Linked DNA regions of Lonchura striata. The protein of the gene in region 2 binds, or shares a complex with, the protein of the main gene of each other region. Links are inferred from orthologs where the notes say so. Each region holds a gene or a part of one and is shown on either strand. Other genes may lie near its edges.

Region 1 (14,964 bases), on a different chromosome or scaffold from region 2:
TCCCAAGTAAGTGTCATGATCCCATATCTTGTACTATCCATTAACTCAAATCTGCAGAACTAAAGGAAGAGGATACTAGATCATAACCAACTCTTCATCCTTGTCTCAACACAGGAAAAATGCATCCAAAGCCCACACAGAGTGCTTAGTTCCCAGCCAGCCTATGCTGGAAACTGTGGCTCTGAAGGTATTGGGAGGCTGCAAGCTCATACTACGTCTGCTGGATTGTTGCTGTAAAGCTTTTCTGTATCCTTTCTTCACCACAAAAACATGATCTTAGAGTTCACCAGTAGCACCTCATATAGGCCCTGTATTGCTGATGGACTCAACTGTGCAATTCATATGTGGAACTTTAAGTTCCTTTGACAGCCAAAGACCTTCTTTTCAAATTATTATGTAGGGACCTCAAGCTGTTTGGCTAGCAGCTATTCTGACCTTCAGCAATCCAAAATTTGGATACTCATCTCCCAGATTATTCCTTGTGAGTTACCTCTCGTTGGTGTGTTCAGCAAGTCTCATTACATGCTGTTTATTTTTTTCACCTTAACTGCTGTGATCTTCAGCTTGTCCATTAAACATCTCTGCTCGAGGGAATTCATACTCCTGAATACTGTGGCTTTGGGGCTCCTGAGCCGGCTCTGGTTTGTGTGTTCAAAAGTCTGTCTTAATTGTGTCTGTTTGATGTGCCTGTCAGGGAGAAGGGCTTGTAATTAGGCCTGGCTGCTAAGGGAGTTTTATTCAGTTGGGAGTAGGAGAAGAGAGGTCACTCCATTCCTCTGGACTCGATTTTAGCACCTGCAAAGCTGTACAGGTGGAGAGAGACTTCTTACATGCTGTTATGGATGGCTTTGTTCTTAGATCTTAGCAAACTGTATGTAGCTTTAATGAAATCACAGTGTTAGTGTCAACCTGCCACAAACACCAGGTACTCTGTGCAGTAAGGAGTAAGTCCTGCCTCATGGGGAAATGGAAAGGCTGGGTTAAACATGTTCTATTATACCACTGAGTTTTCTAGGGAAATTGATGTTTTGGTCTCTCTCCATCTGGGAGAATAACTGCTGTCTGTAGCTGAAGGAGTAACAACATTGTTAGAACAACTTGCAACTTTCTGTGGCACAAGAAATCTTCTAACTCCAGGAAACAAAGAGCAGACAGTTGTATGGTGTCAGGGCTGCGTTGGTGCTGGGTGTGAAGACCTCATGGCACCTTGGATGTGACCCAAGAACCTGATGGGTCCCAAGTGTGACACTCAGCAAAACTCTACAGAAACGGAGGGGCTTCTTGATCAGGAATTTACAAGTCACTCCTGTATTCTGGTGTGGAACAGTTCCTTGAAGTTCAGACTTAAGGAAAGCAGGGTGATGGAGTGTAAAAAGGTAAATTTGTACTGAGTGGAAACAGGGAAAACAACAGTTGAGTTGAAGGTAGTTGTTCAGTGAGCATCATGTTTTGCTGGAGGAGACTCCATTCCTTTTTGTCCTCTGTCTACAGGATTCAGTACAGGTGTGTATTGCAGACCCTCGTGTCCCTGTACAGTGCCTTGTCAACAATGCTTCATCTGGTATCTGAGACCCAACAGACCCCTTATATCAAGGGGTTTACCTTCCCTTCTGATATCAGTGACTTCCTTGGGGTTAACATATCTTCTGAGGCAAAGAAGCAAAAGGCTAAAATGCTTACAACAAAAAAATCTACCAGCTGGATGAAGAAGTTCTTCCCAGCAATGCCAGAGGCAGTATCAAAGATTGGGAAAAAGAGAAAATCTGAGACCTGTACAAGTGCCATGGAAGACCGTAGCATCCTGTGCCCCATGGACGTTGGAGAGACAGTTGTGGTGCCCACAGCCAGGAGAGGTAAAGCCTTGTGCCAGTGTAATTGTTTCTGACATCTCAGAGACTGTCTGCAACTTCTGTCCAACAGGACCAAGCACTTCTACCCACAGTGTGGTTCTAGTACAAACTCCCTGTCTTTGGAAGAAGAGAATGCTGCATGTGCCCTTGCCTTTATAAAGCTGTGGATAATGTTAGTATCATGATTTTTGGGGGTTGTTTCAAACAGGATGCAGCCTGGAGAGAAGCAGGTAATGAATGCAGTATATAGGTCCTGAAAATAGTTATTTGTGCTTTCCTGCTTTTGCATACCTCAGAAGCTGTCTGCTGTCCATACAAGAGTAGGTAAGGCTGTAAGGTACAGGATGCAAGTATCCTGCACTTGCTGGTTCTGAACTGTGCCCAAATCTTCTTTTGCATGCAGGGCTATGGCCAGTGACTGCAGCCATCTACATGCTTGTGTGAACCTTTTATCCATTAAGTTCTCCTTTGCAGCCATCTGTAAACCTCCGCATGCTCTTCGTTCCTTGCCAGCTGCAATGCACGAGTGTAGTCCCCTTGAGTTTGCTTGGAAATGTTGAGTACAGGTGGGAGCCTGCTGAGAGCTCTGTGGCATCTCTGTGCAAAGAAATAAAACTATCTCAGTGTTGTAATGGGAAATCTCTTCTCTCTCTGTAGGGAAGCACCCAGCGTTTGATGTGAAGAGCTTGCTTAGGCCATCCAGACATCCAACACAAGAGGTTTGTATGGTATTGTTTTACATGTTAGGTTGGTGGTTTGGTTTTTTTTTTTTTACACAGTAGGTTTTTTTGTATTTTAAAGACTAACACTTAAAACATGATATCCCTGATTGAAAATGTCCCCTTTTCCTGCCTTATTTTTGCTTGTCTAACAACTCAGGCTAGTGTGGACACTTTGCACAGAAATCAATCACTACTTACTTCTGCTTAGGAATTTGGCCATTTGTTTGTTTGTCAAGTGAAATGACCAGAGACCAAGTCAGTAGTAGACAGGAATACAAATTCTAAATATCTGCCTTTTCTTTTTGTATTCCATGAAACAAGATTGCACTTCCCTTTTCTAACTAGAAAATAAGGAATGTTCTCACAAAAATTCCAGAAAAAAGGATCAGACACATGATCTTTTTAAAACACTCCTTCTGTTACTGTTTCTTTCAGGGTCTAAGCATTACATCAACACCTTTTAAAGCAAAGTCATCACCACTTTCATCTCAGATAGCAAAATCACAGCATGCTGGATCTCTTGTACAGATGGTCAAAACAGCTGCATCATTTGGGGAACTGTCAGAGGCACTCAGAAAAGCTATTCTGTGGTGCAAAAACAACAAATTCAAATCAGAAGCTTATTTTCTGCGTAACAAGTTGTTGAAAAGCAACCGGCTACACCATGTGGAGGCTCAAGGATGCAGGTATTTTTGTATGGGTGTGGGATTTCTGAGTCTAATACTTTGTATTTTAATATTATGTATTTTGCTATAGTATAGTGAAACACAGTGGTCTAAGCCATTCTTTTAAAACTCAGGGTCACTATTTCCGGTTACTGGGTGCTCTCACCATGGGCATTCTGTTTAGTTTAATTCACTTGTGATTTAAAAAAGATTTAAAAGGCTGACAAATGTATGGTACTTAGGAGGGAGGATGAAAATGCAGCTTAAATGATCTGCATGTTTTATGGTAACAAATGTACGAGGCAAGGATTGTCTCTGTTAAAACTACCTTGGCTACTATTGTACAAGGTGCTGTTCTGTTTCTCTGGTATGATAAGGAAAATGATAGAAATGAGTAACTATGAAATCTCTCCAAATTCTGAATGTAGTAACACTTCAGTAGCTGATAAAGTTCTGTTTTGTACACTTTGCTCCCTTAAGCTTGAAGAAAAAGCTGCGCTGTATCAAAACATCTGTCTGTAAATACCTCCTGTATGGATCACAACACAGGCAGTGGCCAAGGCAGCGCCTCAGGGCACGGCTGTGCCGAAGGAGGATCAAATCATCTGCACTCTTGAAGACAGCTCCAAAGACTGGTGGGCAAAAGTCTCTGGAGCCTTTTGGAGTGTGTGAGAACAGTGCATCACTCATCCTCCCAGCTTACCAAGATGGGTCTCCAAGTCAGGAAGAACATTCCAGCACTGATACAGGACATGCCAGACTAAGCACAATGGGGACCCCCAAGGGGCTGCTGCTGGAAGGAAGCCCTGGCTCGGTGTGGAAAGAAGCTGCTGAGAACACAGATATTGATTCTATTTTTGCAGCAATAGGTGTCTGAACCTGGACTTGAAGGAGGAAAGGGGTCAAGTAATTCTAGTGTTTTGTTTCATTTTGTTTTTTGAAGTAAACTCCTCTGAACACTAATGGTGTCTCAGTAACTCACATTGTGAATTCTGTTAAGAAAGTAACAACCATTTTATTATGTTTTTGTAAACCAGGTTTTTTTTAGTGGCTGATTTTTATATTTTTAAGGGTGTTCCAAATAAAGGAATAGTCACCATCCTTTTACCTACCCTTGTCCAGGAACACTGACTTTGTTACCTTTACTCAATGTCCCCTCTCTATTGCCTAACCACGTGTCAAATGCTGCTGTCAAATCCACAGTGCAGATAATTCCCATCCATGGAAGAAAGGCTGCAGAGCTGATCACTCACTGCTGCTTCGGACAAAAGACTTGCCAACACATTTCCAAACCTTACACCCTTCCTTCTGTGCTGCTTGTAGAGGGGACAGCCTTGATATGCAGTATTATTGCTGTTACAGCATTTGTTACGCTTGCTCTGAAATCAGGAGTTAACTGAACCTACCTCCCCAAGCTGTTCCAGAAGTAGGGAAAAGCACAGCTGTGGCCTGTATTACCCACATGGTATGAACTGATCAATGTATATTTAGTTACAAAACATGGGCACAAACATATGTTTTATTCAAAAAGCATGTACAGAGCAAAGAGCACAACTTTGATAGTAGTTTGAGTTTAAGGTCTTTATACAGATAACCAAGATCCATTTTCAGGGTTTCCTATCACAGGAATACCCAGTGACAACTTAAACAATTTTAGAAAATCATGAACTATCAACCCTTGAGCCATCTGATAAAACACAGGCCTACCTGAAACAGACTCCTGCCACTGCAGGAACTTTTAGAGCTTTTTCTCATTTCATCAAATGGTATAAAAATACCTAAATATACCACATACAGTCACGTAACATTTCAGCTGCTTGAATACTTCTCAGAAAAGGCTGGGAGTGAGGGTAGACATCCCAACAGTGACCTCCATCCTAAAAAACCCTTCCAAACAACACGCGCAATCTTCAATTCTTACTTGGCAGCAGGTGCCCAAATAATGCCCCAGTACAGCTTGTGCACAGAATCAAGACCCATAGTTTGCTTCATCAAAAGCCTTTCTGGCTCGTTTCAGTTCTTCATTCATAGTTAGGAGGTCCTTAACTCTGGCAAACTTCCGGGGGTCCTTGCGTATTAGAAAGACGATGTCCTCAACCTGTACCCGACCCTGGCGCCCGATGGACATGGCCTTGTGTGTCTGTCAGAGGAGAAAAAAAAAGGCAACAGTATTCCTTTGCCATGGTGCTTTTTTAAGGTCTCAATTCCACTTTATTCCTTGACATTTTATAATAAAAGAGTAAGCAATTGCTGATTCTGGGCACCATCATCCTAGTCACAAGAGAACTTCCCAGTAAACCATGGACTTAGTCTAATGTCCCGAGCTGCCTGTCAGTTACACCCCAAACATAACCACTACAAATGTATCAGGTAATGGTATCAAAACTAAGGACAGATTACACATAGGACATTCAGCCTGCAGAATGGCTGAAAATTAGGCACAACTTAGAAGCAGTATGAAGTAACTGTATAAGAGGCCAGTGCAGAACATTTTGATAAGATAGGAAAGACCAACCTTTCAAAACAAAGGGATATGTTTGGATACTTAGAAACAGCATTTAGGTCTGGAAGAGAAATGGGCTCAGGCCCAAGAATGCATTCATTTTGGAGGGCAGAGCTAAGTTCCTATCCATGTACAGGCACTGGGCAAACAAAACCTGACTTTCAAATCTGAGCCTTGTCTTCTGTCAGCTGCACATACAGTGAACACCAAAGTCAGATGGGTACCTCCCCTCCTACAATATTAATCTAAATGCTGCTTAAAGCCTTCAGTGTTCTAAATCCACATGGAGCAAGATGCATAAATTTTACTTTAATCTTGGGAAAACAAAATCCAAGTTTAAGTTTCTCCTATTAATGCCATGAGTTTGGGGCCTGGAATAATGCAATATTTGAGTCGGAGGTATTAACCTTCAAAAAAGGCAAAGTTTGGTGAGGATGTTTTGACTGTGCCATCTAGAGTTGACTTACCATTTCAGTGATAAACTCTATTACCAGGTCCTCAAGAATGTCCACTGATTCTGTGTAAGGGTTCTGGTCATCCCCAAATCCATACATCATGCACCTTACTGCACAAAGAAACACTCAGTGTGAGGCTTTCATCCATTCAGTGCTGCACACATCTAGTTAGAGCTCACCAGCCTGCACATTCCTGCACCAGGACGGCACTCTCATCTGTCAGGCAGGACAAATCTTGAGGAAACATACAGGAAATAAACATAAGACAACAAAAGCCCTCCTGTAGGTACAGGAGCTGTACATACAGAAAATAATGTCTGAGGACAGGCTCTCTGAATTCTCATTTAGGCTGCAAAGCACTGCACAGTAACAGTGCAGCTAACTTTGGGCACAGCTATGTCTAGAGGATGCACTAGCAGTATTTTTGAGGGGGAGGGTCTACATGGCAGATTTCTGCAATTGCAGCCAAGGCATATTATGAAAGCCGCTGTTTTGCTAAGAAATGAGTTTTGGGACCCCATAGCTGTCAGCTCGGGGTTTCAGCTGAATGGCCCGGCCCGACTTACGCTCTTTGGAGAACAGCCGCTTCCTCCTGCCCTGCCCACCGTCCAGGCCCCCGCCGGCGTCCTCCGCGTCCTCTTCGAACTACAGGGGCACAGCGCAGGGGAGGCCGCGGTCAGCGCCCGTCCGGCCCCGGCCCTTCCCGCCGCCTCTCCTCCCGCGGCTGGCCGCGGATCCCGGGAGGGCAGCCCTCCGCACTCACCGGCACGTCCTCCTCCTCATCCGCCATGGCCGCCCGGCGGCCCGGAACCGCTGCGGCAGCGCGGCCCCGCCCCGCGGCCCCGCCGGGAGGCGCCGCCGGGCCTGCCCGGGCGGGCGTCGGCCCCGCGCGGCCGCGGGCGCGGCTGCCCCAACCTGGCCACGACACTCAGTGGCGGGTGGCTAGATCGGGATAGCGGGGCTCGAAAGAGAGCTCGGGAGTGTCTGCTAACCCCCCTGCTCCACAGAGGGTCAGCCACCAGGTCAGAAAGGGTGGCTTTGCACAGTCGGTTTGTTCGGTTGGCAGGGGCTTCTCCTTCCCTTCAGCGAGGCACACTTGCCCATGTTCACAGAATCATGGAATGTAAAAGATTTGGAATAATGGCCCTTAAAAATCATCTAATCCCAACCCCTCTGCCGTGGACACGGACACCTCCCACGAGACCAAGTTGTCCAAGATAAGCCTCCTCTTCCGGTTTGTCCCCTTGTCCTATCACAGTTCCTGATGGGCCCCGTCTAGCTTCTCTTTAGGCTCCCTTCACATACTGGAAGGTTGCCGTGAGGTTTCCACCTTCTGGACAGTGCCCAAAGGCGCTTGTCTTTGTAGGGGAGCTGCTCCAGTCCTGTTGTATTTCATACAGTTGCTGTCAGCCCCTTTGCTCCAGCCCTGCCCTTGAGCATGCCCACTGTTCCCCTCACTCTGGTGCCCTAGGCACATTAGCTTTAATCTTGCAAGTAGGTGAATCCAGCAATGCACCTACTCCAGATTACTCATAAAAATGCTAAAATGGACACCTTCCAGAATGGATCCTTGCCGTGTTCCACTTTTAACTGCCATGCGACTGGAGTATGAGCCACCGGCTCCTATGCTCTGTGCTCGATTATTCAACCAGTTTTTACTGATCTACTAGTGCACCTGTCCAGATTGCAATGTTCTCATCTTGGACACTATTGCAAAAATACTGCCTTTGTAGTGTCAGTTATGGCAACAGACAAAACCAGACCAGACCCAAGACATGGTAGAGGAAGAAAATGGACAAAGTACTGCTGAAGGACCAGGGAAGACGCACAAGATGAAATCCTTTTCCATGGAAGCTAATACTCAACATGATTTCTGTAAGTAACAGCTGTAGAAGAGGCAAAGCTTTACCAGGTAATGACAGGAGCTTTGAGTGAAGCTTATGCACTGCAAACAACTAAAGACATTTGAATTTAAAACTGAAATGAGCTCTACTGTATCAGCATGCTGCCAAGCCCACCCCACCATTCATTAATGAGGGGGAAAGAAAGGAAGATCTTTTGTGTCTCTGGCCTGAGAAAGTGCAGCTCCTCACTCTGCAACTCAGCCGGTACCTTAAGAACCTGGCAAAAAAACCTCCAGTAGTGTGTCAAGGCACCTGTGTACCCAATCCCTGTTCCCACAAATGCACTGAAATAAATTTTACTGTTTAGGGGGAGGACTTGATTTTATTTATTGTTTTGCCACAGGGGCACTGTCACACTCAAGAATCAAACTGTTAGTGTTCTCTCCTGCAAATAGCTAAGAGCAAAATGCAGGAGTTATTCCAGTATCTGAAGCGCTTCCGAATAAAACCATGATGTGTCCAGAGGTAAAGTTGGTTCTTCTGGAGAAGATGGTACCTAATGTTCCATGCACACACATCCAGCTTGTTTATAAAAATGGATTAACTGGACGTATTTAATGTATTTAAGTGGTTAGTAAAAGACTTCCTAGCACTGTAATGAAATGTAAGGGGTTTTGTTCTGAAGAGGGACTAAAACCAGAACTGCACTTTTTTACATATTCAGGGTTCTTTTCAGAAGCCCTTCAGTCAAGGCTGAGGCCCTGAAAATTACAGCCTTGACAAGGCCGATGTTTTTGGAAGATCCTGGTTTAAAGGATTTACAAAAAGGCCTTTCCTGAAGTGTTCACTTTCACCTGTTCCATCTATATAGCTACTACTGCATTTCTAGGATCATGCATCCCTTGGGCTGGTTTGCCCTGCAGCATTTTGGGATTAGAGATAAAATATTAACAGAATTACAGGTTTAATCGCAGAAGCTAGCGAGCCATATTTACTGTATTCCTCATATTCTCCTCTTACATGTATGCTGAAAACAGATCTTGTCTCATAACTAGTGTGTTACAAGAAATTGCATAATGAAACTGGTATTTCTAGTCCTTTTGCACTATCAGAGTGGTTTAGAAAAGAACTTTCCTTTTTGAGGTTTAAACACTTAATGCAAATAACTGACAACTGCATAACCACATTTGACCTGACAAAGATTGAGTGCCAGGGTTTGACACAGGCACTTCATAGCTTCAGATTAAGTTCTCCTGTATGACTGCTGCTATTTATGGCTGTCGTTTTGTCCAGTTCTGCCTTTTAACTGGACAGCTTCAGGTGCTCTTAGCTGCTGTGGAACAGAGTTCCCCTAAAGCATACAGTGCTGTGCTTCAGCTGCCAGAGTAGAGCCACTACAGATCATGGATGTTGTGCCTCAGATCTGGCAATTCATCCAAGTGGTGCTGCAGAAATTCATGCTGGATCTCAAAACAGAAGGTAAATGCAGCACTGACTCATGACAAGTGTGCAGGACAGGGTTCCTCTAGATGTCAGTCTTTTATTCCACTCTGTTTCAAGTCAACACTCATGGAAAAGCAGATCCCATAGAAGATGTGTTCTTTCCTTCATCCTTGTGGAACAGGGACAATTCAATGTCTGCAAGCAAGGCATGCCATCCTGCTGCACCTAATGGACACAGAGGACTTACAAAAGTACAATATACAAGACGTTAAACAGACTTTCACAGACAACAGGTTGGCTATTTCCACAATGCATGGCCTCAGAGCAGGTAGGCTGCAGAGGAGGTAGTTTTTGGTCCCTGCTATCCTAATCCTAATCCCAGCTGAGAGAAGTAAGTAAGCCTCTGTGTATCATTCAGTTCAACTAGGCTTGCTTAATGTTAGGGCTGTAGTTTTTCTTTCCTAGATTAAATGCCTCTTTATTAATATTACTAGACTGTATCTAGTATCTTAAATATAGCAGAGGTAAGGCATGGAGTAGTAGATTTTTTAACATTTCAGTGTAGGGAGAGGAAATGGTGTATTAAAACTTCCATTCTCTATGGAGGTTACCTACTTTTTTTCTCCTTGGCACAATCACGTAGGCTTTATGAAACAGTTTTATAGTAACTTGGATTAATTCATACTGCAAACTTCCTGAACTGATGAACTTAATAAAGAAAAAAATTAGCTATATAAATACTAATTTATTCAAAAATACCATAATAGTAACTTGGGTTATTTGCAACAAAAACCGAGACCTGTTTTTGGTACCTCTTGTTCCTGATGAGCCAAGCAGATCAGCAGGTCTTTTCAGCTGGCCTCTACAATAGGCAGGTTTCCAGTAACATGGGCTACAAAACACCTGAGCAAGTGAACCCCCGAAAACTCCACAGAGCTGTAGAAAAAGAGTCATAGATGTTCAGTGCCACATACTGACGTGTCTTGGAGTAATAAAGGCAAATAGCCACTGGCTGTGCTCAGTTACATGTCCCACAGTACACCCTGGGAAAAGCCTGCACTTTGGCTATGTAATCCAACAATTACAGCTCTTACTGTTACCAGAACTCCAAATAAAATGGGAAGGCCTGCTACCATGCTGCACAGGAACTGCTGCTCTGCTTTGAGAATGGTCAAATGAAGAAGCACCTGGAAACAAACTTCACTCACTTGCAGAGAAGGGGGAAAGAAGAAAAAGGACATTTCCCCATCAGCAGCCCACCTTCTATCCTTGGGGCACAGAGAGGTGCTGCTTCTAGAGCAGACAGACTTGTTTTAGGTATCTTGCCCTACTGAACTCATTACCAGAAAGGCAACAGCAGCAGTGGAGAGGAGCTTTACCTGACCAGGAACAGCTGAGGAAAGCATCCCTGAGTGCTCTTCTTTACGAACTCCTGGATCTCTAGTACGTTCTTTAACAATAATCCCCTGGAAGCTCGATCAATTTTTGTTAACACCACCTGCATGGATCCAGAAAAAGAGGATTCAAAGAAGAAAGTAAGATGATTTTGCTGTTAATCTGGAACATCTCTAAGAGTCCTAAACGGTCTTACAAAGCAGTCTGAAAGCTCTGAAAGGTCATATCTAGGGGAAAAAATAGTCTAACACAGTTCACCAAAACTACGGCTTGCATAAGGAGTGCACCTTTTCCAGCTGCTCAAGCTGAGCACTGAAAAAAAATATATTTAATAAACCATATAAAACCCCCTCTTAGGTCCTATTTGTCTCCCTCAACACATTATAAACCTATTTTATTAACAATATAGGGTTACTGCTTAGGTAGGACAAGTTGCCTAAGCTCAGGTGGAGGGTACACACCTTTCTAGATTACCTGTACCTTATAACCAACCCAAGAATGAAGCATTACCTACCACATAAGGAATCCCAAACTCTTCCAGCATCTCTACTGCAATGTGATCTGTTTTCTGAAGTCCAACTACACCATCAACTAATAGGAAAGTTCTCTTCAAGCTGCCAGAAATACAAGCAATAGTAATTGTCACCATTATTTCATGCCTGCTCTGCTACTTCCACATTCATAAGCAAAAATAAGTAACGTGGGATTTGGGGATAGGAAGAGCCAAGAAAAGTCATGCATGGAAACTGAGGGTCAGCATGGAACAGCATCTCAATCTTTCCTGCTGTTTTGATCTGTCTGAGCATAAATGAATGACACTGCAGAAGATTCCAGGGAAATGATGTCAGAACTAGTGGATGGAAGCAGCTACCCCTCTGCATTTTCTCCCCTCATTACATGACACTGTATAGGGGTATAGGGGTGTCTGTCTGGCTTGCCCTGTGCTGATGTACAGGTAGGTCCCTTACTTGTGCCGTTCCTGCAGATAGGCCTCCACCATCTCAACAAAGTCCTGCGGGGAGCGATAGCCATATCCTGGCATATCCACCAGAGTAAAGTACTTCCCTACTTTGAAGAAATTAATCTTCTTGGTGTGGCCCTGAAGAGAGGATTTAGGCAAGATGAAAGCACAGAGGTGGTTTCTAAAAAAGCTGCTTTAAGCAATACACTAGGAGGTGCTCTGCAAAGTATCTTTATACCAGATCCCTTCCCCCTGAGAATGCTTTAAACTGCCCGGTCTCCTACCTGTGCAGCAATCCTACGTGGCTCTAATAATAAAATGGACTAAAAATACCTTAATGGGTCGCTGAGCTTGGTTCTTCTCAAAGGTCTCTACAGCACACTGCTCAAGTTGTGCAGCTCTGTTGTCTGCCTGAAGAGCCAGGCTGGGCTCCTTCTGCCTCTTCCTGGGCTAGAGCAAGGCCAGTGCCAGCCATGAGGATGGCCACCAGAGCTGGCACTTTCCTTCTTTTCTGGCTACTCAAGAGCTTCTTCTCTCCCACCCTTCTCAGCCCTATCCTCTGGACTGGTACCAGCCTAAGACCCAGGGGGAGGGAAGTTAAAAAAGTCACTCACCGGAGTTTTTGACACTCTAACTTCCACTTCTGGAGCCAGTGAAAACAAGGCCCGGATTAAAGATGATTTCCCCACGTTGCTTCGGCCGATGAAGCACACCTGCAGGGGGAGAGGCAGAGAGGGCACATCTACACCTCTCGCTGCAGCCAGTCCTGGTCACTTCCCAGCCACGGACATGTCAGGCTGCCGAGTTGCACAACGGGGAACAACGACAACTAAACGACTTGTTAAAAAAACAGCAGTAAGTGCCCCACATACTGCGCAGCGCTCTGACAGCCGCACAACCACTCCATCACCCCTTTATCCCCGCAGCGCAGCTCAGCCCAGGTCGGGGTGGCCCGGGAGGGAGGAAGGCGCTGCCCCGGCAAGGTCCCGGCCAGAGGCGCGGAGCAGTGCTCGCCTGACCTCAGGCAGGGCCGGCGGCGGGGCATGGTCCATGCGCACGGCGGAGCTCACGTAATCGATGGGGTGCCCGCGGTCGGACCTGAAGAGCGCCTCGGAGCGCTGCAGGGCGGCCAGCCCGGGCTGGAAGAGGCGGAACGGCGCCGTGTCGGTGCCGGGCGCCAGGTACCGCTCCAGCTTCTGCAACGGGAACACGATCGCGGTGCGGCGGCTCCGCTCCAGCCGCAGCACCTGGGAAAGGGCGGCCAGCGGCGGCGTGGCCCAGCCCGCAGCACCCCCAGCCCGGGCCAGCAGCATCCCAGCGGCTGCAGGCGGGACCCAGCCCGCCCCGGAAGGCGGCGGGCGGGACGGCGGGCGGGGCGGAGCGCGACTGTGGGTCGGTGCCGCAGCTGCCCCCGCCCCGCCGAGGGCTGTCAGGGCCCCGTACAGGGCGTGCGTTCGCCGTCCGCATCGGCTCCCGGGAGCCGGAGGTGCTGCCCAGGCCCGGCTGCTTGTAGAATCACAGAATGTGCTGAGTTGGAAGGGACACATAAGAATCATCAAGTCCAACTTCTGGCCCTGCACAGCACCATTCCCAAATCGCACCATGTGCCTGAGAGCGTTGTCCAAACACTTCCTGAGCTCTGTCAGGCTTGGTGCTGTGACCACTTCCCTGGGGAGCCTGTTCCAGTGTCCAATCATCCTCTGGGGAAGAACCTTTTCCTGATATCCAACCTAAACCTCCCCTGACCCAGCTTCAGGCCATTCCCTCGGGTCCTGTCATTGGTCACCACAGAGAAGAGTTCAGTGTCTGCCGCTCCTTTCACCCTCACAAGGATGAACTACAGTGATGTCTGTCCTCAGTCTCCTCCAGGCTGAACAGCCCAAGTGACCTCAGCCCTTCTGAGGCCCTTCTCCATCCTCATTGCTCCACTTTGGACGCTCTCTAACAGCTTTATACCCTTTTTATCTTGTGACCAGAACTATACACAATACTCCAGGTGAGGCCCCAGCTCAGAGCAGAGGGGACAATCCCCTCCCCTGCCCGGCTGTGATGCTGGGCCTGATGCCCCAGGACAGGGTTGGCCCTCCTGGCTCCAGGGCACTGCTGGCTCAGCTTCAACTTTCCATCAACCAGGACCCCCACATCCCTTTCCATGGTGTTGCTTTCCAGCATCTCATTCCCCAGTCTGTCCATACATCTACGATTGCCCCATCCAGATACAGAATCTGGCCCTTTCCCTTATTGAACTTGATAGGGTTGGTGATTGCCCAGTCCTTTAATTTATCGTGGTCTCTCTGCAGGGCGTCTGCCTTTGAGCGAGTCAACAGCTCCTCCCAGTTTTGTATCATGTTTTCAGCTCCGTGTCTTACGTCTGTTCTCAGGCCAAGGCCAGCCACACTGTGGAGCTGCTGAGGGCTCAGTGTGCTGATGATGCCCTGTTTGGCCAGGTAGTAGGACAAAGCAGCCCTGTCCTATAGCACTATCCACCTCCCAGAAAATGCAGTTTTCCAAGCGCTCTTCTGATAAGTGAAGAAAATTTTTCGGAGAAAAAAAACCCCAAAAAAACCCCAAAAAAAACATTTCTTCAAGGAGAACTATGTAGAGGTCAATTCTATTTTGAATAAAATAGACCTAAAGCAACCACAAAACTGTTGGCACTGGTGTTCACTCTATAGTAAGAAGACCCCTGAATTTTACTAGTTAATTGATATGTATCAGAGTGCTGTTTTCCTATCAAAAAATACACATAAAGCTTTTTACATTGTTCTCCTTCAGGACTACAATTCATAGGGCTTTAAAACCACAGAAATAAATGTATGTCCTTGAAACATTTCAGCTTCAAAGCACTGCAATTTTAACACCACCAAATGAAAGTAAATGTCATCATTATCTTTATAAAAGTAAATATATGAAAATATTCTGATGTTCAACCTTACACCCAGGCCAGCCTGGACATCCTGCGGAACACTGCCTTTCCTTTGAGACAGAGACCCCTTTTTTTCTTTAAACAGCTCTCTGTTTAAAGGCCTGGAAGTCTGGATGGTTTAATTGTTACAATGAATAGATTCAAGGCCAGGAAGGACCGTTAGAAGATAACAGAGGCTATATCCTACTTTCTTTGTATTG
Region 2 (15,479 bases):
AGAGAATCATCTCATTTAAACTGATCACCAACAGTCTAATCCTTTGATAGAGATTATTACTGTTTAGTGGTAAGAGTGAAGTAATTAAAAAAAGAACAAAACCAAAGAAAACATACAAGGTAAATCTGACATTATAAAGAAATAAAAAATTGGCTGATGCCAGGTGAATTCTCTCCTCTGTGGTAATTACCAATGAAAATATTGGTCTGCTGTTTGCATTCTCCTTTTGTCATAATGAAGTTTAGAGGAGACTGTGCAGACCTTGGAGCAATTTTGGAGCCAGCTCTGCCTTGGAAAACATTTTCCAATATCAACAATTTTTCCTTCCAGTTATAATACTGTGCTCCCCAGATCAGAACCTGCCTTTCAAAAAAAATTCAGCTGTATTAATAATACCAATTTCAATATAGTCATTAATATTTTTCTATGTATATATAATTAATATGTAGTCCTGCAAGGAATAGGGACTTGGACTCAATGATCCATGTGGGTTCCTTCCAACTTGAGATATTCTACAATTCTTTGTTTGCATTAAAAAAAATCTTAAAAAAAGTAGTCAAACAATATGAAACTAAATACCAACTTTGAAATTTTATTTCCTAACTGTTAGCAAATTTCAGGAGGAAAAAAAAATCACAGTATATAAACTCAACACTGAAAATTGAAGGAAAGCAAAGGAAAATCCACTTCTAAATTCAAAAAGTTAATTATCCAGTTTGTTACACTTCTAGTTGTAGCAGCAGGTAATCTAAATTTGTCCAGTTGAAATATGCCCAGATGTGATAAAGTTAAGTAGCTTCTATCTGACTGTTTTTTAGAGAAATGTATCACAAAAAGGAGACTTTAGGAGGTGTGAACAGGTCCCCTCCTCATCCCTCCCATGAACTCCATAATAGAGCACCACTCACATAAATAGACTGGAAACTGAACTCCCTCACTGGATGTGTTAAGAGGTAAAACATGACATATTCTGTGTGTCTATAACACATTACTCAAGCTACATCAGCTAAATTCATGGCAAACAAAGCAGATTCTGATCTGTCCTCATGGACAGCTCCCCAGCATAAAAAAACCCAACCCATACAATCCAGAGCAGGTAACTCAAAGCACCAGCTCTGTCACCCCTCTATCAAACCACGTGAAACAGGACTGCAAAACAAAGTGGCACCTAACAGGGAGCCTTTCCCTTTTCACCTCTGCTTAAAACCAACAACGCAGAACTCTGCTCTCAGAAACCACTCCACATCAGTTTGTTTTGTAGCCTGATACCTTAATTACATACTCCAACACTGGTTTTCAAATATTTAGTTTAAATTTTAGGATAAAACAGCTCACAGCATATTGAATGGTGTTCCTTTGACAAGCTTTCCACAAATTTGAGCAGCATAATACGGTGTACTTCAAGAAGAAAACCCTGATTTTCTCCCTGTAAGTTCAGCCTCTCCTCCAGCCCCCAACACAGCATTCAGAAGCATTTCACGGCACCAAAAACATCTCAAACCCGCTTTGCAAATCCTTTTGCCTTCTCTTTGCAGCCACAGAAGCTCCCATCAACTACAGCTCCTGCAAATGCAAAGAAACAACAGCAGAAAAGTAATGAAAATCTTGAATGTAGCTCTCCTAATGGGATGTAACAGCTGGAACAAAGATCTAACCCAGCTGGGAGAGCCATCATTTTCTTCTGCAAGTGAGAGGACACGTGAGCAGGGATGACAGGCTTTTCACAGCGATACCACGGTGTCTCAGCTACGTCAGAGTAAATCCATTCAGTTTGGAACACAAAGATTATGTCCCTCAGCTGACAGCCCTGCTAACTCAAACCCCACTGGTCTGACTCCGAGATAACGCCCTGACAATGAAGATGCTACAATTGGAATTTAATTAATTCTACTTATGCAAAACCATGGCAGAATTAAGCTCATTCATCCAGAGCTGGGTTTGTACAGTAACTTATTTCAGGAGCAAAAGGAAACAATTCTGAAATTGCAGGGAGATGTCAGCTCAGTATTAAGATGTCCTTTTACAAACCTTTTTAAAGAAAGAAATACAGGGATTGTTTTAAGAGACGTTGTACAAAAAATAGTGCATCACAGGCACAAACAGAGCACATTCCCCTTCTCCTCAAAGAAAAAAATTACAAAAAAACACCAAACAAGAAGACTGTGATACTTGTGGTGCTTCCTTCCCCATTCATAGAGTGGAAAAATGCCTTTCCCCACTTTCAGTAAGCAAACACAAAGCAAGAAAGGTATAGCTGAGCTCTACAAACTCCAATCCTCAGCACCAAAAAATTGCATCATCTTTATGTCTTTTCCTCCCAGTCTTAGAAACACTGCACCACAAGCATCTTCCAGAGAATTTGTAACAACCCTATGAAAGGACAGCTCTGGCCAAACCTAGGTGAGCATCTTTTTCACCCCATAACTCCACTCCTAAACCCTCTCTGTTGTCTCCTTTAATCGCTTTAAAGATAATTTCTGTGTGGACAGGGATACAAACTTCAGAGCTGCACTTGTGCTGCTGGGATATAGGGGTTAATATTGCACAGTCCCATTTCTAGACTAACTTGCTCTCAAACTTGGGGAAAGTTGTACAAGTAAACCTATTCAACCTGAGAAATCCAGTCTGCAGCACACAGTTGTTCCTAAGCTTAGTTACACTGGCACTGTCAGACTTGATCTCAATTATTCCTGAAATGATGAAGCAGAGCCAGGACCAGATACACTCAGCTGATCACTTTGCTTCATGGGGGATCCCTGCAGCAGTGAGAACTTCCCTTCTTCAGAGAAGGAGCACAACCTCCAGCAGCAGCACTTCCAGGCTGTGGCTGCTCCTCTCCTAACCAAGCCACTCACAGTGCCCCTCCCAGCTCTGCACACTCTCCAGATTCACCCCTGCAGAGGAATCCAACACACCCAGACCTCACAGTTCCTTGGATCTTAATGCTGCATCCAATCCAGCACCAGCTGACAGCAACATGCCTCTGATGCTCCTCTCACCTGCGACTGACACCTCATTAGCACAGTTCCCACAGAACAGAAGTACTGGCAAATATTCCCAGAGGTGCATTTCAGGGCTCCCACTCCCGTTACCTCTCCAGCAACCTCCTGCAGGTCCCAGCAAATTCTCTGAACTGGTGGTGGCTACAGTAGCCCTCAAATCCACCCCCAGTGAGTCACCTTCTCCCTACCCTGGACTTCAGGCAATCAATTATCCATCCCAGCTCCAACCCCTGCCAGACCCAACTGCTCTGACCTCTGCCCCAGGGGCCCTCCAGGATTTCCCCATCACTCATGGAGCAGCAGCTGCCTACAATGCCACAGCTCTCCAGCATGCCAGAGGAAAGGGGAACATGTCCCTCCTGGCACAGGAGGCACAAGCAGCCCTGTTTTCCCAGGCATACAGCCTACACCCACCTCTCCGGAGTACACCTGCTCCCCAAAGTCCCTCTGCTATGGAGATCCCCCTTCATCTCCTTCCTAATTCTCACAGATGCAGCAGGAGCACTGGCAACCCCATCTCTGCATACGAATCTCTGCCACATGACACCCTCCCTGTCCCACATGGAGGGCAGCAAAGGCCTCCACACACAGACCCATGACCCTCTCACCACACCCACAGCCTGAGCCTTGCTCCTCATTCCCCACATTTCCTGTGTTTAGAGCTGGCAGTGACCCTGACAGCCTCCCTCTCCCTGCAGATTGCCACCTCCCCACCCCTTCCTGACCCACCCAAACCCAGCACACCCCTACCACCCTCTCAGCCCCACTGGCAGCATGACTGACCAAGCAAGCAACTGGACATCCCACCCTCCAACCCCCCATGTTCTGCAGGTACAGCAGGACATCCAACCCCTCAGTAGCTCCACTGCAGGCTCTGCAGGGACACAACACTGCATCCTCTACCATACACCCAGACCCAACAGTGCTGCTCCCTTCCCAATCCCATTCCACACTCCTGTGTGTGATCCAGCCAGCAGTCCTTGGCACTGATTCCCAGGCTTCTCCTCTTTCTCTTCTCCCACTTCCTGTAAACTCAGCCCTTCCATGCTCCCAGCCCAACACAACCTCACCTCAAATCCAGTGAGGCCTTGGGCATCACTTCCACTGCCCTCCACCATCACTTCCAGCTCCCTCTGTACCACCTCCATGGCAGAGCTGGCTAACTCCAGTCCCCCACACATCCAGCCAAATCTCTTCCTCTGCCTCCACACAAGGACACCCATACCTCATGCCATGTGCACTAAATTATCCCCAGCCCAAATCCACCCTTTCTGCACTCCACAATTCCCATGTGCAGCCATGCCACACTCCCACATCCTGTGCACTACAGCTCCACTTCCCCCAAAACACATTAGGGCATCCTTGCCTTCCCACATTCCCCATACACATTCCCCAGTCCCACAGTACCACTGCTTCCCCCCTGTACACAAACATTCCCAGAGCACCCCAGCAACAGGACTTCCAGGCACACCACTCCCTCCCCATGCAGGAGGGAGTCCAAGCCTTCCACCCTCCATCCTCAGCACTTCCCCTTGGGCCAGAATAGGAAACCCCACACACATCTCCACCTGCAGTGGGCCCCTACAGCCCCCTCAGGCACAAAAGATGACCCAAAGATGAGCCACGACAACACAGCACCAAATCCTCCCATGTATACATCCCACCAGGAAAAGAGGCTGGCTGCCTCTTCTCCTTCCAGTTCAATCTCTTCCCAGATTCAGAACATCCCAGCAATAGAGCCAAAACTCCCCTCTCCCCCTTCCCAGCACCCTGCACGCTGTAGCCAGAGAGAGTGGGACAGCACCCCCGTGTTCCCACATTCCAGACCCACTGCCACAGAGCCTCCTTTCCTCCAACCCCAGCCCCACAGTCCCAACTCCTCACCCATACCCAAACCCACTGCCCCACAGTCCTCCGTGGCACCAGGACCCCCTTGCTTCAGCACTGACCCTATGCCTTCCCTCCCCATCCTCCCAGTCCTGTGCACTGCCCCATGGCCCAGCTCCCCTTCCCCAGAGCCCCCAGCCCATGGGCTGATCTTCCATAAACCCACTCACTGACCCAAAGACCCCAGCACTGCCCAAATCCCACCTCCCCGCACTCTTCTGCCCTGCCCAAATGACCACACCTCCATGACCCTCCTCTGCCAAGCATCCCCAGCTCCTGGCACTCTTCAACAAGCAGCAGCTTCCAGCAGCCCTCCCCACACCTCCACAATGCTACCCCACAGCCTTTCCCCACAACCAGGGCCCCCAGTGCTGCCCAAACCCACCTCCTGTGCCCTCCTGCCCAGTCCCCAGACCCCAATGCTGCCCAAACCCACCTCCTGTGCCCTTCTGCCCTGTACCCCAGACCCCTGCCCAATCTCACCTCCCTGTACCCTTCTGTCCTATCCCCCAGACCCTTGGCTTGCCCAAACCCACCTCCTGTGCCCTTCTGTCTGTCTTATCCCCCAGACCCCTGCCCAAACTCACCACCCTGTGCCCTCCTGCCCTGTCCCCCAGACCCCAGCAGTACCAAAATCCCACCTCTCCGTGCCTTCCTGCCCTGACCCCAGACCCCAGCAGTGCCCCACACCACCTCCCTGTGCCCTCCTGCCCTGCCCAAGCCCCAGCAGTGCCCCACAGCACCTCCCTGTATCCTCCTGCCCTGTCCCCCAGACCCCAATGCTGCCCAAACCCACCTCCTGTGCCCTCCTGCCCTGCCCAAGCCCCGGCATTGCCCACACCACCTCCCTGTGCCCTCCTGCCCTGCCCAAGCCCCGCACCCCGTGCTCCTGCCCTGGCCCGCCAGTGTCCAGCGCTGTTTCCTTGGCAGGATGGCCGAGCCCGGCAGGGCTCACGGAGCTCACTCAGCCCGGACCCTGCTCAAGCAGGGCCACCCACTGAGGCCTCCGAGGACCGCGTCCAGCCGCATCCCCCCGGCCCAGCCCCAGCCCACACTCACAGAGCTCGCAGTAGCGGTGGCAGCCCCGGCCCAGCCCCTGCAGGTACCGCTGCAGCACGTCGGTGAGCAGGTCGCAGGCCGAGACCTGCACGGAGTCCCAGCCGAGGGCCTGGCAGATCTGCGCCACCGACACCCGCAGCAGCCAGCGGGAGTAGGTCTCGCACATCCCGCCGGGGCCGGGGGCCGCGGGAGCTCTCACGCACCGCCCGCCGCCGCCGCCGCCATCTTGGCGCCGCCCCGCCCCCGCCAGGCAGCGCCGCTCCAGTGCCGAGCGCATCGAGCGGGGCGGAGCGCGGGAACGCCGCCCGCAGCAACCGAGGCCGCGGCCCGCAGCGCGCGGGACACGCCGGGGTCGGACACGGAACACGGGCCACTGTCGGTACCGCAGCGGGACACGGAACACGGGTCACTGTCGGTACCGCAGCGGGACACGGTAAATGTGCCGCTGTCGGTACCGCAGCGGGACACGGTACATGTGTCACTGTCGGTACCGCAGCGGGACACGGTACACGTGTCACTGTCGGTACCGCAGCGGGACACGGTACACGGGCCACTGTCGGTACCGCAGCGGGACACGGTAAATGTGCCGCTGTCGGTACCGCAGCGGGACACGGTACATGTGTCACTGTCGGTACCGCAGCGGGACACGGAACACGGGTCACTGTCAGTACCGCAGCGGGACACAGTACATGTATCAGTGTCAGTATCGCAGCGGGACACGGTACGTGTGCCACAGTCGGTACCGCAGCGGGACACGGTAAATCTGCCACTGTCGGTACCTCAGCGGGACACGGTACATGTGTCAGCGTCGGTACCGCAGCGGGACACGGTACACGGGCCACTCTCGGTATCGCAGCGCCGCTGAATGTCCCCCACTGCCCCAAGGGATCGTACAGGAAGGATGCGACAAGGCTGTTTACAATGGCTTCGAACTGAGAAGGAGTTTTTGATGGGATATGGGGAAGAAATTCTGCACTGTGGGGGTGATGAAGCACTGGCACAGCGTAGCCAGAGAAGCTGGGGATGTCTCATTCGTGGTGGTATTGAAAGTCTGGTGGGATAGTGAAGTGTCCCTGCCCATCACAGCGGGTGCAACAAGGTGATCTTTAAGGTCCCCTCCAACCCGAACCATCCTGTGATTCTATGGTCTCTATAAATAATCTCAATATCTCTAAATAAATATCTCAGAGAGCTGTCAAAAGGATGGTGTCAGACTTTTCTAAGTGATGAGCAGTGACAGGATAAGGAGCAATGACCATAAGAAAACCAAATCACAAGGAGTTTCACCTCCTCAGGAGGAAGAACTTCATTACGCAGAGGGTGGCAGAGCACTGGAACAGGCTGCCCAGGAAGGTTATTTTTCTCCCTGGAACAGGCTGCCCAGGGAGGTTATTTTTCTCCTTTTTTTTTCTTTCCAGCTGGATGGAACACCAAATTGGCAGCAATAAGGAAAAAACTGTTTCTCGATGACTTGTTTAATTGGGGAAAAAAAAACAAGTAGGGAAAAGGATGGAACTCCGGTGGCAAAAAGGATCCAGAAACAAAATTTACAGTAACTGAGTGGTGTAGGAGGTGCAAGAAGGAGCAGCGCAGCTCTTACTCAGTGGTACCTGTGGAGATACACAAGAGCTAAACTGTAACTCAGTAGTTGTGTGTAACTAATCAAGAGCATGGAGGACAGAACTGTAAATAACAGAACTCTATTATACTATATTATTACTCCAGTATGAAACCCTAATTAGTTCATAAATTAGCACTTTAGTTTATGAGTAGTCTGTTGTGTCAGTCACACATCTCACATCTGCTGCCTGAAGAGCAGGACCTGGACCCCGAACAAAGTCCTGAAGCTCCTGGTTTGGTTAACAGCTCAAGGTCCTGAGGGTGGTGCCCTCAGAGCTCCATACTGGGACCAGTATGAGCTTCTCTGGGCAACGAGTGCCAGGACCTCACCCCCTTCACAGTAGAGAATTTCTTCCCAACATCCAATCTATCCCTGCCCTCCATCAGTTTAAAGCCATTGCCCCTCATCCTGCTGCTCCATGTCCTTATCCAAAGTCGCTTTCCAGCTCCCCTGGAGCCCCTTCAGATGCTGAAAGGTCTCCCTGGGACCTTCTCCAGGCTGAAAACTCTCAGGGTTTGAGAACAAACTCTCCTCAGGAGAGGTGCCCCAGTCCTCCAACATTTACATTTCTATACACACACTGACCATGCAATAAACTGTGCATTCTAAATAACCTCTGTAGTGACTCAACCAATCACATCACTTAATTTTAAAAATTCAACATCTGCTAACAGTAGCAATACAAAATTCAAATAAGAGATATCAGTGTTCTAGCTGTGTGATGCAGAGGTTATTCCAGTCTCCTCCTTGAGCCCACAATACAATGTACCTCTCAAAGTAGATCATTTTCAAAGACAGGGTGAAGTTAGAAAATCTCTTCCACTCTTCAAAAGAAACATCCACTTACATGTTTCACATGGCATATAAACTAAAAGTATAGAGCACAGACTTCTAAGAAACAAAGTTTCAAAGCACACCCAAGCCCAACCCAGATATTTAGACTCCAAGAGCATTTGCTCCACAGACAAGCAAAAGGATCTGTTTCACGGAGGTCGTTTATTGTACGAATTTACAAATTTCTGGGGCTTTTCCACTTCTTCACAAGATAACAGAGCAGTCTTGTTAACACAGACACAGGCAGGCTAAACCACATATGCTCAGAAGAGCTCCTCTTCACCTGTAAATAAAATTGAAACAAATCAAAATCCTTTCATCTATTTATTTATTTTAAACTGCTATTTTCCCCAATTTGAATACTTCATTAATATTCCTCACCACCCCCCAACGATTCATCACATCTATTTTTTTCTTACATTTTAAATTTTGAAATTTTCCTTACATTTTAGATTTTGAATATGTTCATGTTAATACAGAAACCTCTTTATGTATGTCTGACATACAGACACCTTTAAGTAATTGCATAAAGTCAGACCACTATACAAATATTCAAACAGCAATTGCAAATGAATCCAACAATAGAGAAAAAAAAACCACAGAAAATTATAACTCATCTGGGATTATGCTACCATGGACATATTTTCCTTAAAATTACTGAAAAATAAGAACTCTTTGGACAAATTCAAACTAAAAATGTCCAATTTCACAGCTCTTTAGGAAGGAAAGCTTCTGTCTGACCAAGACCATTTAATTCTGTCTTCCTCATCTAACTTTGTATTTTCTGTGTTAATTAATTTTAAAACACAATCCAACTTCTATGACATAACTTTACCTCTTGGATTTGGCTGAACCGCTTTTTCCGATTAATCCCTGGTTATGGTATTATGAGAAAAAACAAAACAAGCAGGTTAGGAAGCAACTCATGCAAATTCAGGCAAAACTGCACGGATTTATGACCACAAATGTATTGTGAGGAGCACAATACAGCACCAAAATAATATAAAGTACATATTCCAGGCATTCTGTAAATACACAGGATATGAACACATGTATTTCCGTACAGAGCACAAATTTTTAACTGTTACAGTAGTACATGTGAGCTACATGCAGTTACAAATTGTGGTCTAACCCCACACATTTGTAACCTGCAGCACACACCTGCACAAAGCCTCATCCTCAGGCAAACAAGCAAAATACTAAATTTCAAGTAAAATACATATTCCATATAAAAGATTCCGGAAATTCCCTCTTTGTAAACCCAGACCCAAACTCTCAGCTTCTGAACACCTGATTTATCCAAAAGCATTTCAGTCACATCATTTGCTCTCCCCCACTCAACACTACTGGGTTATTTGACCAGGCAAAGCAGGAAATGTCCAGGTAAAAAGGAAGAGGGGGGAAATCCACCAAAGGCCAGAAGGAAAATCCTCACCTCTCCAGGCAAGGATGCCTGGTGAGGCTGAAGATCTATTTTACCAGCTTTTAAACTGCATTTGATCAGAAAAAACTGCCAACTTCGCTCTGGTTAGTAGAACTGCGCAAGCTGAAAAGCTTGGGAGCCATGCCAGGGACTGCCTTCCCTCTGGTTTTAGGACCTACAATCCCAAAGTTTGCCTGTTACCCTGGCACACAAGAGCACATGACTGCAACAGCTCTGACTGCACGTTCATACAGATACTCACAGAGCAGCAGCACCAGAGATGATCTCAATGAGCTCCTTGGTGATGACGGCCTGGCGGGTGCGGTTGAACGTCAAGGTCAGCTTGTCAATCATCTCGGCTGGAATAAGGCCAGATTGGAGTTTAAACACAAAATGAGTGTATAAATGCAGATACAGAGAAGCTCTATGGGCACAATATCCAAGTTATTTGCAGTGGTTTACAAGACACAAGAGGTTTAGTGCACCTGACATTTTTTCCCTGCAGGTAATATTACCAAGAAACCATCTATAAACCAGCTTGAGAACTAAGCTTGTCAGTCAAACATCTGCAGAACAGCTGGCAGACTTGTAAATACCAGGCCTGACATTGCTTATTGTAACATAACACAAGCAGGCATCATTAGCTTTGGAATTAGATTTCACTGTCAATTAACTGCATTGTTATTTCCTTCAAGTTGTGGCAAAAGGAGAGATTTTTCTCCATTATTTTTTTCTCAATTATTTCAGGTATCACCTCTTTCTCTCAAGTTGGTCATCAGAGCCATGCCCACTATTGCAGGCAGCCCAATTGCACATCACATCAGTTTCAATCACCAGTATCCTTCCAAGGAATACTCATATATTCTCTACTTGCTCCATGACAGGTGGTATTGAACTACTGTTTAAGTTCCCCCACCTTTAAATTGCACTGCACTAATTATATTTCCTGAATGAGTAAGTAAAGATTTATAAGAATTCAGGAAATTCTCAGAGCAGCCACATGAGAGGAGCATAGAGAATATTTAGCCATTGTAAGATTAGTTTAGTATTTCATATGCCTTTTAAATAATCTGTTATTTCACTTCCAGTCCTAGGCTTGTTTCTCAACAGCAATCCCTCTTTCCAGAGTCTACATACAGCTCACATTTGAAACAGAATCTCAATTGTACTGGCTAAAAAAAGCCACTCAAAGTGGAATTAAGACAGGAAATAGCTGATTTTTGAAGGAAAGGATTACAGAAAGGGAGGTCAACACTTTGTTGCTGAACAACTGAAGTCCTGGAGAAGCCAGGGAGCAGCTTACAAGCATTCTTGCTAGCGTTGTCCATGGCAGTCATCCTGGCGCTCTGCTCGCTGGTGGTGGATTCTTTCAGGGAGTAGTACAGAATGTTTGCTAGCGTGAACTCCTGGTAGTTTCTCAGCACGTCAGCATCAAGATCATCATAGATACTTAGGCTTTCTGCAAACCATGGAGGAGCAAACTTAGACACATCCAAGATTTGCTACTTCCAGCAAAATACAATGACACAGAGAAGATTACTTGTCTGGACTGTTTCAGTACTTAAGGCAGTACAGAGAGACTCCCTGAACATATTATGTGTACCTTCAGAATCTCTATGCTACTTATAATTCTGTTAACTGTTTTATGTGTTTTAGTTCAATTTAATATTAGGAAAGTCAGACCAAAGCAAAATACATTATTACCATATTATGTTTAACTTTCCCTTACAATGCTGCAGAAACATTCTCGGAGAGCACCTTTCTGAGCCAGCCTTGGACTGATCTTGGCCAAGACAAAACTATCTGTTAAACTATGATACAAGCACCATAATAAGATGTTTTAAAATACCATAGTCCCATTTTCAGAGTACTTTTCTTGTGATTTATCACTGCATGTAACTGGTGGTTTCTAGCTCCCTACTTACCAGAGCCAGCCACCGTTTCAAAGGAGAAGATTGGTTTCTCATCAGTCTTGTAAGAGATGACAGACCTGTACAAAAAGAGCAAAACAGGTTCTTCAGTTCAACTGAACTGACTCTAAACAGAATGGTTCAAATCAAATTAGAATAGACAACTTCTGGCTTTGCAATGCCACAAGGTTTTGTGATAACACTGATGAAAAGATCTTGGATACCACATGGATATAATGATGTGCTGACTGTAAATGTTACAGTGTTCACTACACACAAGTCAAAAAGGGAGTTCTAACCACAGCTACTAGAAAAAACAGCCCAGTTCTTGACACACAACAAAATCAAGAAGTGAATATGCCATATATTCCCTTTCATATTCCCTTTCAGTTTTCATACAACTTCATCAGGCCAATATACTCTTGGAAGCATTCTGCCAAGTATTTTTCCAGTGAAGTTTAGTTCAACCTTACCTGAACCGATTGTAGATGACAGAGCCTTCATCAAATTCATACCCAGAGTTTAACAGCTCTAAAGCAATGGCTGAAGCATCTCCAAAGCTTGGAGGTCTCCGTCCCACCTCTTTGAATGTCAGCAGGAAATAGTTGCCATGTGTCCTGCAGCAACACAAAACTGTGCTAGAACCAAGTGGATGCTCTAAAACACGAGCAGCAAGACTTACTAGAAATAACTGTTTGTAATTTAGGAGTGTTCAGAATGAAACATTTTACTGAATTAGAGTCTGAAAGAAACTTTGCCTTTAGTTAAACTACAATAGCTTCACAATACACACATGTGTAACAGCATCAGTTGCCAGCTTTTATTTCAAGAATATAATAGTGCTGTGCAGCAGTCTCTCAAATTGTGACATTATCAAAACCACTTTTAAAGTATTTGCAGTTTTTTTTTTACAGGAACTTGAATTTAACACAGTTCCCTTAAATGCAATTTCCTGCCAATGGCACACAATCCTACAGTCTTGAAATTTCTACCAGAGACAACAAAACTCTAAACTAAACTTTTGGACCCCATCCTTTTTACCTTTGAAGCAGGCCTCTGATCTTGTCACCTACTCCAACCACCATAACCTCCTTCCCTGCATTTGAGAGGTTGGTAATTTCATTCTTCAAGGTTTTAGCAATAGATGTATGGATAGCACCACACAGGCCTCGGTCAGAGGACACACCAATAAGGAGGTGCTTCTTCTTGTCCTCAGGTGGCTTTATTTCTGCTTTCTCATACAGAGCTGAAAAAAAAAAAAAGATCATAACATTTTTCAAGGGTGCCAAAAAAGCTAGTAAGTAATAAAAAATGCTCTGAAATATTCTAACTAAAACCAATACCAAAGGGGCTCCAGATCTCAGCCAGATTAATTTTATCTCCTTTGCAATTGTTCCAAGTTTGCACACGGTCAGACCAGAAGTGAGGAATAAACAATTCAGAGCCAGTCACAGCTCTGATCAGATGTCACTCAGTGAAGTTCACTGTGCAAATTCTTTTGGAAACAGACTACTGGAAGGTTAAAAAGCCTTGGCATTTTATCACCACTATGAAAACCTCCTCTTCTAATCCCCCATCACTAAGTGCAAGATCTTTCTCTCACACAGAGCTCCTGTTCCATAGACCCTCGCAGGCTTCAGCTCCCTCTCAGCTCTTGCGTATTTGGCTGCAGAAACCATCTTCATGGACTTGGTGATCTTCTGGATGTTCTTGATGGACTTCAAACGCCTGGTGACTGCAAGGTTAAGAGTTGAAGGTCATGGGCTGTACTGGGCACTGTGACTCAAGCCCAAACAACAAAATGCCAGCAAGAGCCATAAAAAAATATTTTGCCATGTTCCTCAAAGAAGAAGAAATAAATAAACAAACATCACAGAAATAAACCTCATGAAAGACCTTGGTACTTGCAGTAAGACTAAGAATGTAGCTAACACAGATTCATCTTTACAATAGAGATGTTATCTCCTTCAGATATAACATTCATTTAGTATTTATCCCAACATGAAGTCTATTTACTATTCTCTTTGCTTCCACCTCTACCTGTTTCACAAATATATTATTTGAGGTATAATGTCATCTTTCACAGATGACAAGCAGAGGAAACAAACAAACAAAAAAGTCCCCATAGTGTGAAGACAGAATAAATTTCCTCCTCTGTTTAGACTGTGGTAAAATGACATTTATAAAAACACTAATGCAAAAAATAACCAAAACAGGTATCCCATTGACAAGCACAATTCCAAGGCAATATCCCTATATAAGAACTATGAGGGATGGCTTAAGGAAGCATTATCACACTGAAACCATTCAGTCAATCCTTTTTCCCCCCAAATGCTGCACAAAAGCACAAGGAAATAAACATAAGATAAACTAAGTTAACTCTTATAGGTGAGCAGAAATCTGGTTTAGCACATACAGTAAAAATATTTTTAAAATCTATTTGAGTAAAACTATAAAAAGACATTTAAATTACTGCCAAAGCCACTTCAAGCAACTCCTTTTCTGAAGGACACTTGTTTAATGTGATTAGCACTGCAGGCCTATATATCATTGTTATACATCACAATCATACCCAACAGAGGCTAAACAGTATGCTTTAACATATGGTTTTCAACATATGGCTTTCCTGCAACATTTTGCCTCTCTCAAGAGCAGTTAAACCCTTTACTTACTGTCTTTTAGCGTTGCCATATTCCTGACTTGGCCCCTGAAAAGGAATGCAGGAGAAATTAGGATAATTCACTAGCTCTCCAGCAAACCAACACCTGCCAAGGGCAAGTCCCTTTCAGGGTGATGTTGCTGTTTCTTACAAAACGTGTGGCAGAGAGAAGCCACTCTTACCTGTGGCTTGCATGCACACCTTCATCCTTCCCTACCTTATATAATTTCACAGAATCAATTAGGTTGGAAAAGACCTCTGAGACCATCAAGTCCAACCTATGACTGAACACCACCTTATCTAAGTGGTGCCCTAACTAAGCCACGGGCACTGAGTGCTACATCCAGTCTTTCTGCAGATACCTCCAGGGACAGGGACTCCACAACCTCCCTGGGCAGCTCATTCCAATGCCTAACCACGACTTCTGTGAAGAAACTGTGAAGAAACAACCTAAACCTGTGTTGTCATGTCGCTGAGAGGAGGCCAACTCCCACCTGACTGCGCTGCGCTGTCAGGGAGCTGTAGAGTGATAAGGTCACCCCGAGCCTCCTTTTCTCCAGGCTGAGCTCTTCCAGCTGCTCTTCAGAGGACTTGGGCTCCAGACCCTTCCCAGTTCCCCTTCTCCGGACTCGCCCCTGCACCTCCGAGTCCTCCCTGAGCTGAGGGGCCCCGAAGCGGCCCCAGGACTCGGCAGCGCCGAGCACAGAGAAAGGTTTAACGCCTCGGCTAAGGGCACGGGGCAAACGAGGGCATTAGAAGGGCAAATTAGAAAGAAATATTTTTAAACAAAGCTTCGTGCAATGCAATTCATTTCTAAAGGCTATTAAAACGAAGCAGAGGAGGCCAGAGCAGGGTCTCCTGCCATGTATAAACTTGTCCCTTTAACCCTTGCCTGTCCCATTCTCCCACCCACCGAGGACGGAGCCTCCCTCCCTGCGGGTCCCCGCTGCCCTCATCTCCCGGCACCGGCTCCGCCACCTCCCCTCAGAGCCCACAGCCCCTGACGGGCCGCCCGCGGCCGCGACCCCGCCGCCCCCAGGCGCCGCACGGCCAAGGGAAGCCATCCCCCCCTCACCCCGCAGAG

Evidence for each region.
Region 1: TAF3 (region 2) and TAF13 share a complex: the UniProt entries of both Homo sapiens proteins name them as parts of the TFIID basal transcription factor complex. The link is inferred for Lonchura striata from reciprocal best matches to the Homo sapiens genes TAF3 and TAF13.

What each region holds. Positions count from the first base shown.
Region 1 is NC_134604.1:23,952,374-23,967,337, reverse strand, and holds TAF13 (transcription initiation factor TFIID subunit 13), read right to left. Parts: upstream 7,027-14,964; 5' UTR 6,986-7,026; coding exon 6,959-6,985; intron 6,841-6,958; coding exon 6,762-6,840; intron 6,306-6,761; coding exon 6,208-6,305; intron 5,378-6,207; coding exon 5,207-5,377; 3' UTR 4,739-5,206; downstream 1-4,738. Other genes in the region: RMP64 (nucleolus and neural progenitor protein), read left to right, coding at 1-6, 115-246, 564-641, 1,492-1,853, 2,508-2,569, 3,008-3,258, 3,718-4,114; GTPBP8 (GTP-binding protein 8), read right to left, coding at 10,334-10,418, 10,862-10,980, 11,392-11,491, 11,846-11,976, 12,172-12,288, 12,453-12,551, 12,858-13,151. UniProt on the Homo sapiens protein: The TFIID basal transcription factor complex plays a major role in the initiation of RNA polymerase II (Pol II)-dependent transcription.
Region 2 is NC_134607.1:68,963,832-68,979,310, forward strand, and holds the start of TAF3 (transcription initiation factor TFIID subunit 3), read right to left. Parts: upstream 6,182-15,479; 5' UTR 6,115-6,181; coding exon 5,949-6,114; intron 1-5,948. Other genes in the region: ATP5F1C (ATP synthase F(1) complex subunit gamma, mitochondrial), read right to left, coding at 9,270-9,276, 10,089-10,185, 11,130-11,285, 11,752-11,816, 12,210-12,353, 12,778-12,982, 13,340-13,471, 14,409-14,443. UniProt on the Homo sapiens protein: The TFIID basal transcription factor complex plays a major role in the initiation of RNA polymerase II (Pol II)-dependent transcription.